2 linked regions of the Sus scrofa genome follow. The protein of the gene in region 1 interacts with the protein of each later gene in a pairwise test. Links are inferred from orthologs where the notes say so. Each region holds a gene or a part of one and is shown on either strand. Other genes may lie near its edges. The genes, in order: TSR2 and RPS26.

Region 1 (4,434 bases):
AGGACACCCAGTTGATACTGAAGAATCGCTTGGTGGTGTGGGAAAACTCAACACATATACCCTACAACTGGTGATAAGAATCTTCCCTACTCCAGGTATGTTTGAGGCCCTGGGAACTCACAGGGAAGTGCTTAATCTCAGTTTCTTTATTTGGGCTTCTTTGAACTCAAATTTAAATTGCTGAGTCTGCAGGAATGAATCTCTAGAGCTCTGTAGGAGTTTATGCCTCCTGAGATTATCAGTCTGGGAATGCTTGTAATTATCATCAAACAGCATGTTGTTTCCTGATTCTTTTTCTTTGTATAGATTGTTTCCTCAGCATGAAAGACTTTCTTTCTTTTAGAAACATACCTCTATCCTCAAATACACAAACTCCTCATCCCCTGGGAAAATTCCACTCAAACTTTTAAGTCAGAGGCATTATCTCTGAGAGATTTGCCATAATTCCCAAGGCTGGATCAGAAACCCCCTCTGCTGGACTCCCATAGCTTCCTGTGCTCCTTTCTCCTCTAGCATTGCATAGAGATGGATTTATCACAGAAATAATATAACTAAAAGTTTAAGCCTCTAGTAACTCACACTTACACAAGACACTTCCAAGCCCCTGGTTGTTGAGCATTGTCAATTTGAGACAATTATTGCTGCACAAAAACAAAGTACCATAAAATTTTATAGCTCACATGTAAAAGAAACTAGAGGTTTCCCCAAATTTAACACAATCTTAAATTTTATTCTACTAACAATGAGCTGTGAAGTTGAAACTTTTCTAAACTACAATAATAAAAAATTTTGATCAACTGAATGCAATTGAATTCTTTTTATTCTCTCTTGAAAATGTTATTATAAAATAATTGTCCTATTTATTTACAGGAAGATATCAAAATGTTGGCAGCCAAAAAAAAATAATAAAATAAAAAATAAAGGAAAAATTAGTAGAGAGGTGAGTCAGGCAATTATTTTATTTCTCTAGTTTTGAGGATGTTTGTGGTATTTGTCAGGTTTTTTTAATTGGAATTTGTAGGAATTCCCTAGTGGCTCAGTGGGTTAAGGATCAGCATTGTTAATGCTGTGGCTCTGGTTACTGCTGTGGTGCCAGCTGGATCCCTAGCCTGGGAACTAACACATGTCACAGGCATGTTCCCCCCCCCAAAAAAAATTGGAATTTGTAAATTTAAAAATTTCTTTTATAAATCTAAAGCTATACTTACTTGCACACCTAAATTTGTACTATTTTTCTTAAAGAGGGCTTACAAAATTCTATCTGCCTCAGGCCCTTCAAAGTGTGGATTCACCCTGAGCACTGATCATAATTTTGGTCCTTGCCCTGCTTTAGTTTCAAGTCATTTCAAGACGTCTTCCGATTTTTTTTTCTTTGACCCATTAGTTATTTAGAAGTGTACTAATTCCCACCTATTTGTGAATTTCACAAATGTCTTTCTGTTATTTATTTCTTTTTTATTTTATTTAATCAATCAATTAATTTATTTTTTAGGGCCACACCTACACCATATGGAGGTTCCCCCGCTAGGGGTCGAATTGGAGTTGCAGCTGCAACGCCGTATCCAAACTGTGCCTGAGACCTACACCTTAGCTCACGGCAACGCCAGATCCTTTAACCCACTGAGCGAAGCCAGGGCTTGAAGCCGCATCCTCATGGAGATGAGTCGGGGTCTTAACCCGCTGAGCCACAGATGGAACTCCTAGGATGCATTTCTAAATGCAGACTTTTAGGCTATGCTACCTGAGGTTGCTTCCTCTGTCCTTTATCTTTAATAAGTTCCTCACATCTTTTCTGCGCAATACCCACGGGTCCGGAACTCTCGGCCCCAAGCGTCTTCCACTTCTTGAGTAACCCGGGCGGTGTCATCGATTACTCGACAGACTTTTCTATTGCTCTAGTCTTGCTGCCAGATCAGCGGAAAGGGAGAATCTGCGTTCTCAAGCTTGGCTTCCTACTCCTTCTGCCTGGGCGGTGCTGCGCAGGGATTGGCCTGCTTGGGCGTCACGTGGTCCGCAGCAGGATGATGGCGGGCGCTGCAGAGGAGTCTCTAACGCTTTTCCGGGCTGGCATCCGCGCAGCGTTGGAGGCTTGGCCCGCCTTGCAGGTGAGCGAGGACACAGCTGGAACAAAGGTTAGGGACCGGGCCAGAACAGGAGTTGGCCGGTGAGCTGCCCAAGGCTTAGTTGGTTGGGCGGCGTCAGAAGCGGACCCTTGCGCCACCGCAGGCCGGTTCCTGGGCTGACGTGGTGGGCTCGGGCCTGTGTTCGCAGATCGCTGTGGAGAACGGCTTTGGAGGTGTGCATAGCCAGGAGAAGGCTGAGTGGCTAGGGGGTGCAGTGGAGGAGTATTTCTTCCGCAATGGTGAGTGAATTTAAGGCCCTAGGACTTGTTTAGGGGCGCGGGGAGGAGGGCGGTCTTGGTGAATCTGCACTTCCTCTTGAACAATTGTCTGCTGATACCAGAGTCTGAATCCTGAGTTCGAGTGCCTTAGGGCCATGCCATTGACTCCTTGTATCGCGTTGGATATGTCGTTTTACTCCCCTGAGACTCAGTTTCCTAATTTGTAACATGGATATGAAAGTATCCACCAGCGCTGTCCAAATCGAAATATAATGCCAGTCACATCATGTAATTAAAAATTTTTCAGCAACCACTTTGATATAAAAAGCAGGTGAAATGAATATTGTTCAACTCAATATATCCAAAGTATTTCAACATGTAATCAATATAAAACATTATTAACGAGATGTATTACATTTTTTTTTAGTATTAAGTTTTCAAAATCTGGTGGGTGTTTTGCAGTTTTATCACATCCCAATTTGTCTTGGCCTAGCCACATTTTAAGTGCTCAGTAACCACATTTGATTATTTGGACAGCAGAGATCTACACCTTTGATGTGTCTTGTAGGTTCTATAAGAATAGGGGCCCTTTAGGTGATCTTTTGTGAAGTATGATTTTTTTTAAATTATTCACTTAGTTTTCTTGGCCTTGGAGATGGCATTAGGCAGAGACCTTTCTCTGAAAAAAATTTATTATTTGGTGAGGGATCTAGATAAGTAAATAGGTTTTTACTCACAGGGTGGTAGGTGTTCTAATAAAGATCTCAGGGTGCTTGGGTAATGTGAGACTGAGGAAGAGGCTTCTTTTGGAGATTGTTAGGGTAAGGTGGCTTTTGGGTGAGTTTTAAGGGATGAGAAGGAGTTAACTAGGTGGGAGAGGCAGAGCAACACTCAAAAATAAGTTCTGTGGTATGAGGAGATTATGTGTTATATTTGGAAAGTGGCAGGGAGCTCAGTGTTAGAGTAGGGCTGTATGGTGTGCTTGTGGGGGTGTGGGAGGGGGGAGTGATAGAGAATGAGGCTGGAGGTTGGTTGGGGAGGCCCCTGGAAAAGGGTGAAACATGGAAGGATTTGTGGGCCTTTGATTTTATCCTTTAGGCCAGCATTTGTCAAAAATATATGCTATGGAAGACTAGTTCTTTTTAGGTGTTCAGTGAAGAAACCACTTCTCCAGTCACATGATATAAAAAAAGCTCTTCAGCTCTTAAGAGTCACCATAATCATTATCATATTAAAGGTTCTGATAAGAACCACCAAAAAGAAACTTGTTTACCATGATTTTTCTATGAATAGCTTCCCTTAAAGTCCAGCAGGACAGTTACGTCTTATAAGCAGAATATGAAACACTGCAGTAGGAGATAAAACTTCATGAGCAGGATTTAATAGGATGGGGTTTACTGGCTATAGAAAGTAGCCAGTATGGGGTTCCCGTCGTGGCGCAGTGGTTAACAAATCCGACTAGGAACCATGAGGTTGCGGGTTCGGTCCCTGCCCTTGCTCAGTGGGTTAACAATCCGGCGTTGCCGTGAGCTGTGGTGTAGGTTGCAGACACAGCTCGGATCCCGAGTTGCTGTGGCTCTGGCGTAGGCCAGTGTTTACAGCTCCGATTCGACCCCTAGCCTGGGAACCTCCATATGCCGTGGGAGCGGCCCAAGAAAAGGCAAAAAGACAAAAAAAAAAAAAAAAAAAAGTAGTCAGTATGGAGCTTGGACTGGAGAGGGAACAACTGATGAGAAGACTGTTTCTGTCTTGAAGATGATGAGGCAGTGGCAATAGTTACGGAAAAGAAGGGGTGGATTAGAATCTTGGAAATTGTTTGGCTGTAGAGGAGTGGGGGGGGGCATGAGGCAGGTTTCTGGTTTGAGTCGTTGCGTGGCTCAGATACCTTTTATGGAATAGGAGAACCCTGGAGGATTGAGAAGTAGGTTTGGAAGGTAAGGTGATGAATCTGGCTTTGGGAAAGGAGGGTCTGAGGCACCCTCTAAATAGGTGGAGAGTAGTGTGGATTGGAGACAAATTTGGGGGATATTCGAGTGGTAGGGAAAGCCAAGGAGGCGAATGGAGCTCTCCCAGAGGGAAGAGAGAGCAAGGAG
Region 2 (3,977 bases), on another chromosome or scaffold:
TTAGGTACAACCCTTCCTCACATTGTGGGGGAAATATCTTCTTGTGGGACCCCCCCCAAGTTTCTAGAATACCTGGTGTCCTGGGCTTTTTTACTTGATAGAGAAAATCACTGCAGAAAGATGAAGGTTGGGTGAGAACTGGCTAACCAGCAAACCAATTCAAGGCAAAGAGGTGAATTAACGAAGTTAAGGATCTGGAATCAGATCCCATGAAGCTATTCAGGCCATAAACTTCCATTAAAGCCTTGTGTCCCCCACTAAAGATACTCACACCTAGATCAGTCTAAATTGCTTCCTGATGAGTTCCTCACAAAACTCCTTATCCTGTTCTTAGAACACCAGTTTACGCCAACATGCCAGGTTGAATTAACCTAATACAGATGCTTTAACTCCTCTCCCCCATAGCTATGCAAATTGGGGAGGTCAAAGACAGAAATGTAAGAGAAACACAGGAGTTGAGGTTTAACTTACATAACCACCCTGGCCTCCATGAAAAAGACTATGTGACACTCCAGAGTTCAATATGTGGTGAAGTTACAGTTCCTGTAACATACACAACCCCCATTATATCTGGCAACACACACTCAACATGCCATATTAAGTATAGTCTCCATTTTATTGTCTTTTTAAAGGATAGAATTCCTTCAGTCTCTAAGAACTCAGTTCCTTACATGGGCTTTGGTGGAGGTCGTGGGGCAGCACCCTGAAAGACAAAAAAAATGGAACAGTAAATTAAAGAGTCTCCCTTAAAGAACTTGACCACTGCCCTCCTACCACTAACAATGTATCTGGGCCATAAATGCATGGAAAACCAACACACATCAAAGATTACGCTACTCAATCTGAACCAGATTCTAACCACTTTTGATATTCCTTGAGTCCTCGTATGTGTCTTTCCCCCATCACCCCTCTGGCTCCCACACCTTTTACATACTCACCGCAGGTCTAAATCGGGGTGGAGGTGTTCTATCCTTCCGGGCTTCACGAGAACGATTCCTGACTACCTTGCTGTGAATGGCACAACTCACGCAATAATGTAGTTTCACATACAGCTTGGGAAGCACATAGGCTAAGAAACAGAAAATTTAGAGGTATGATATCATGTATTGCACACCCACCTCACGCAGTTCTTTCTTGTTCATTCTATCAGGCAAAAGTAAACATACCCAGGAGTTCCCTGGTGGCCCCGCAGGTTAGGGACCTGGAATTGTCACTGCTATGGTGCAGGTTCAACCCCTGGCCTGGGAAGTTCTCAAGTTCGGTCATTTTTGGGGGGGGGGGGGAGTAAACAGGAGTTCCCGTCGTGGCTCAGTGATTAACGAATCCGACTAGGAACCATAAGGTTGAAGGTTCGATCCCTGCCCCCTCTCAGCGGGTTAACGATCCGGTGTTGCCGTGAGCTGTGGTGTAGGTTGCAGAAGCGGCTTGCATCCCGTGTTGCTGTGGCTCTGGCGAAGGCTGGCAGCTACAGCTCTGATTCGACCCCTAGCCTCCATACACCGCAGGAGCAGCCCAAGAAATGGCAAAGAAACAAAAACAAAAAAGTAAACAAACTCATTTAGGCATATCTACAAGATTTCACTCCAAAGAGCTACTATTCACTTTCTGACACCTAAAAACATAGTTTCACGAATAAACACCCCCTTACTAACCCATCCTGTCATCATGGGAATCAAATTCACACCACAGATGTTATACCACCAAGAATCTAGTTTCTTCAACAATCACATCAGCCCTAACACCGTCCAGGGCCCCCGCCTAAAAAAGCTCACTGTCTCTAAAAAGAAAAACGATTAAAACAACATCATATTGCTCCAAAGATCACCCTCGTGAACCTAAGTAGACATGCTTCCTTTCTTAAATGACTCAGTGAGCACTACCACAAAAAGGCTCCCTCCCCAGACACAGCTCAAAGTGGCAAACGCAGCAAAGATTCAATTCTCTTCTACCGACAACCTTAAAAACACAAGGAGATTGCTCGGACACTACTACGACAAAGCCTGTGCACCGCACGGGTTGGCGGGGAGAGGTGGTTTTAGGTCTTAAAGTATGTATGTACAGCTTTCGGCCTCATGTGGAAGTTCCTCGGCCAGGGATCGAATACGCGCCACAAAAAAATTACACTTCTTAAATATTAAGATACCGATTCGCCCCGGGAGCTCACTCACCATCGAAAACGCTCGCTTCGGAAATGTCCCTGACCGCCGCGGCCTCTACAATGTTCCGAATAACGAACTTCTTAATGGCCTTATCCTTGGGCACGCATCGGGCACAGTTGGTGCAGCGAATAGGCTGCACGTGGCCGCGGCCCTTTTTGGCACGGCCATTATTCCTTCTTTTCTTGGTCTGCATCAGGATGAAAACACCATTAAGAAGGGCTCGCAACTTACCCAGCCTTAGACCCCTTCCGGCCACATTTCCCGCCGGCAACCACCAGAAGAGCCACTCAGATCTCCAGTCCCTCCGCAAACCCCCCCAAGCCTGGAACAAACATATGCTCTTTCCATTCCTTCACCGTAGTCCAGGTTTTAAAACCCCCACAATCTCATCTGGCTCACACTCAGCCTTCACCCGGCCCCAATCGTTCACCACGCGCCATAACTCACCATCTTGGAAGCGAAGACGCGAGAGAGGAAGTGGCCAACGGCTCGGCTCTCTTATATAGTGCGAGATCCCTCCGCTCACGCCGAGGGATTCCTCCTAGACGGCTCCTGGACGCACGCCAAGGACGGCAATCACCTTTATTCAAATGTTATTTATTATTCAGCGTTTCTGCTGAAATCTATGGTAGAAAGGTGTTTCTCGAGTTTATTTTTCCGTGGCACAAAGTGACCAAGGGACTATTTAACCTGCTGGCGGAAGAAAATTACGGTTATGTGTTTCCCAGCAACCTTTGCAACACCTTACCCCGGACGTAATTCTGGGCATTTATCTGTATTTTGCGACGCAAGGCGGGGAAGTTGCCCGGCGCAAGACCGCTTGTCACACTGCCTATTAGAGGTCGGAGGGGAAGAGATGCATGGTGGGAGTTGTAGTGCGGAGTTGGCAGTCCCCAGGCCCCAAGCCCTTAAACGGAAGGCGACATCACTCCACCGGCCACTGGGGGACGCTCTCTGCTCGTTTCTTTGGTGCATGACAGAAAAGGAAGATGTTGGGGGCGGGAGGCTGGGGGAAGAATAAAACATGTTATTAGTTCCTCCTTCTAATACTGAGAAAACCCAGCAGGGAGGAGTCATGGACAAGTGCATCGGTGCTAGGGCTATTTCTCATTCACCTTTTTGTTCCTGGATCTTGCAAACATAGTGCCAGGCACTGTAGTAAGCACTGTATAAATATTAACTCAGTTAACCCTCAACAAGTCTACAAGGAAGCTTCTAATATTATCCTTACATTACATGGGAATTCCCTAGAGGTTCAGGGATCCCACGACAGATTGAAAAACTGAGGAGTAGAGAGGTTAAAACTGAGGTTGCCCAAAGTTACAGGGAGCTAGTAAGAGGTTTCTTGGCTCCACTGTACTATGCTTTCTCTTACCTAAGAAACAAATAAGTGGATGGAGGTATAAGTTGGACTGGTGACCTAAATGATTTGACTTACACTCCTAGTAAAAATATATTTTACTTTGGTACTCAATACATATACAAATACAAATACACACACACACACACAAAACTGAAACAAAAATTTCATGAAACAAAGCCCTTATGACATAAGGTGCGCTGGTATTTTCTATTTTATTTTAATAAGTGTTCATCAATTCCCATTAAGGTGATTTCACCACTCATTGATGACTCTGGCCTCCTATTGAAATGTACCTTGTTATTTATGTTTAAGTTCCATTTACCTCTTTTTTTTTTTTCTTTCTTTCTTTTTTTTTTTCTTTTTAGGGCTGCACCCAAGGCATATGGAAGTTCCCAGGATGGGGTTGAATCAGAGCTGCAGCTACTGGTCTACACCACAGCCACAGCAACACGAGA

The links.
Region 2: the proteins of TSR2 (region 1) and RPS26 interact in binary tests that used the Homo sapiens proteins (3 or more experiments, as listed by UniProt). The two-hybrid records come from large-scale screens. The link is inferred for Sus scrofa from reciprocal best matches to the Homo sapiens genes TSR2 and RPS26.

The regions. Positions count from the first base shown.
Region 1 is NC_010461.5:47,185,066-47,189,499, forward strand, and holds the start of TSR2 (pre-rRNA-processing protein TSR2 homolog), read left to right. Parts: upstream 1-1,544; 5' UTR 1,545-2,021; coding exon 2,022-2,105; intron 2,106-2,271; coding exon 2,272-2,362; intron 2,363-4,434. UniProt on the Homo sapiens protein: May be involved in 20S pre-rRNA processing.
Region 2 is NC_010447.5:21,430,312-21,434,288, reverse strand, and holds RPS26 (40S ribosomal protein S26), read right to left. Parts: upstream 2,634-3,977; 5' UTR 2,610-2,633; coding exon 2,607-2,609; intron 2,347-2,606; coding exon 2,169-2,346; intron 1,070-2,168; coding exon 939-1,069; intron 704-938; coding exon 668-703; 3' UTR 598-667; downstream 1-597.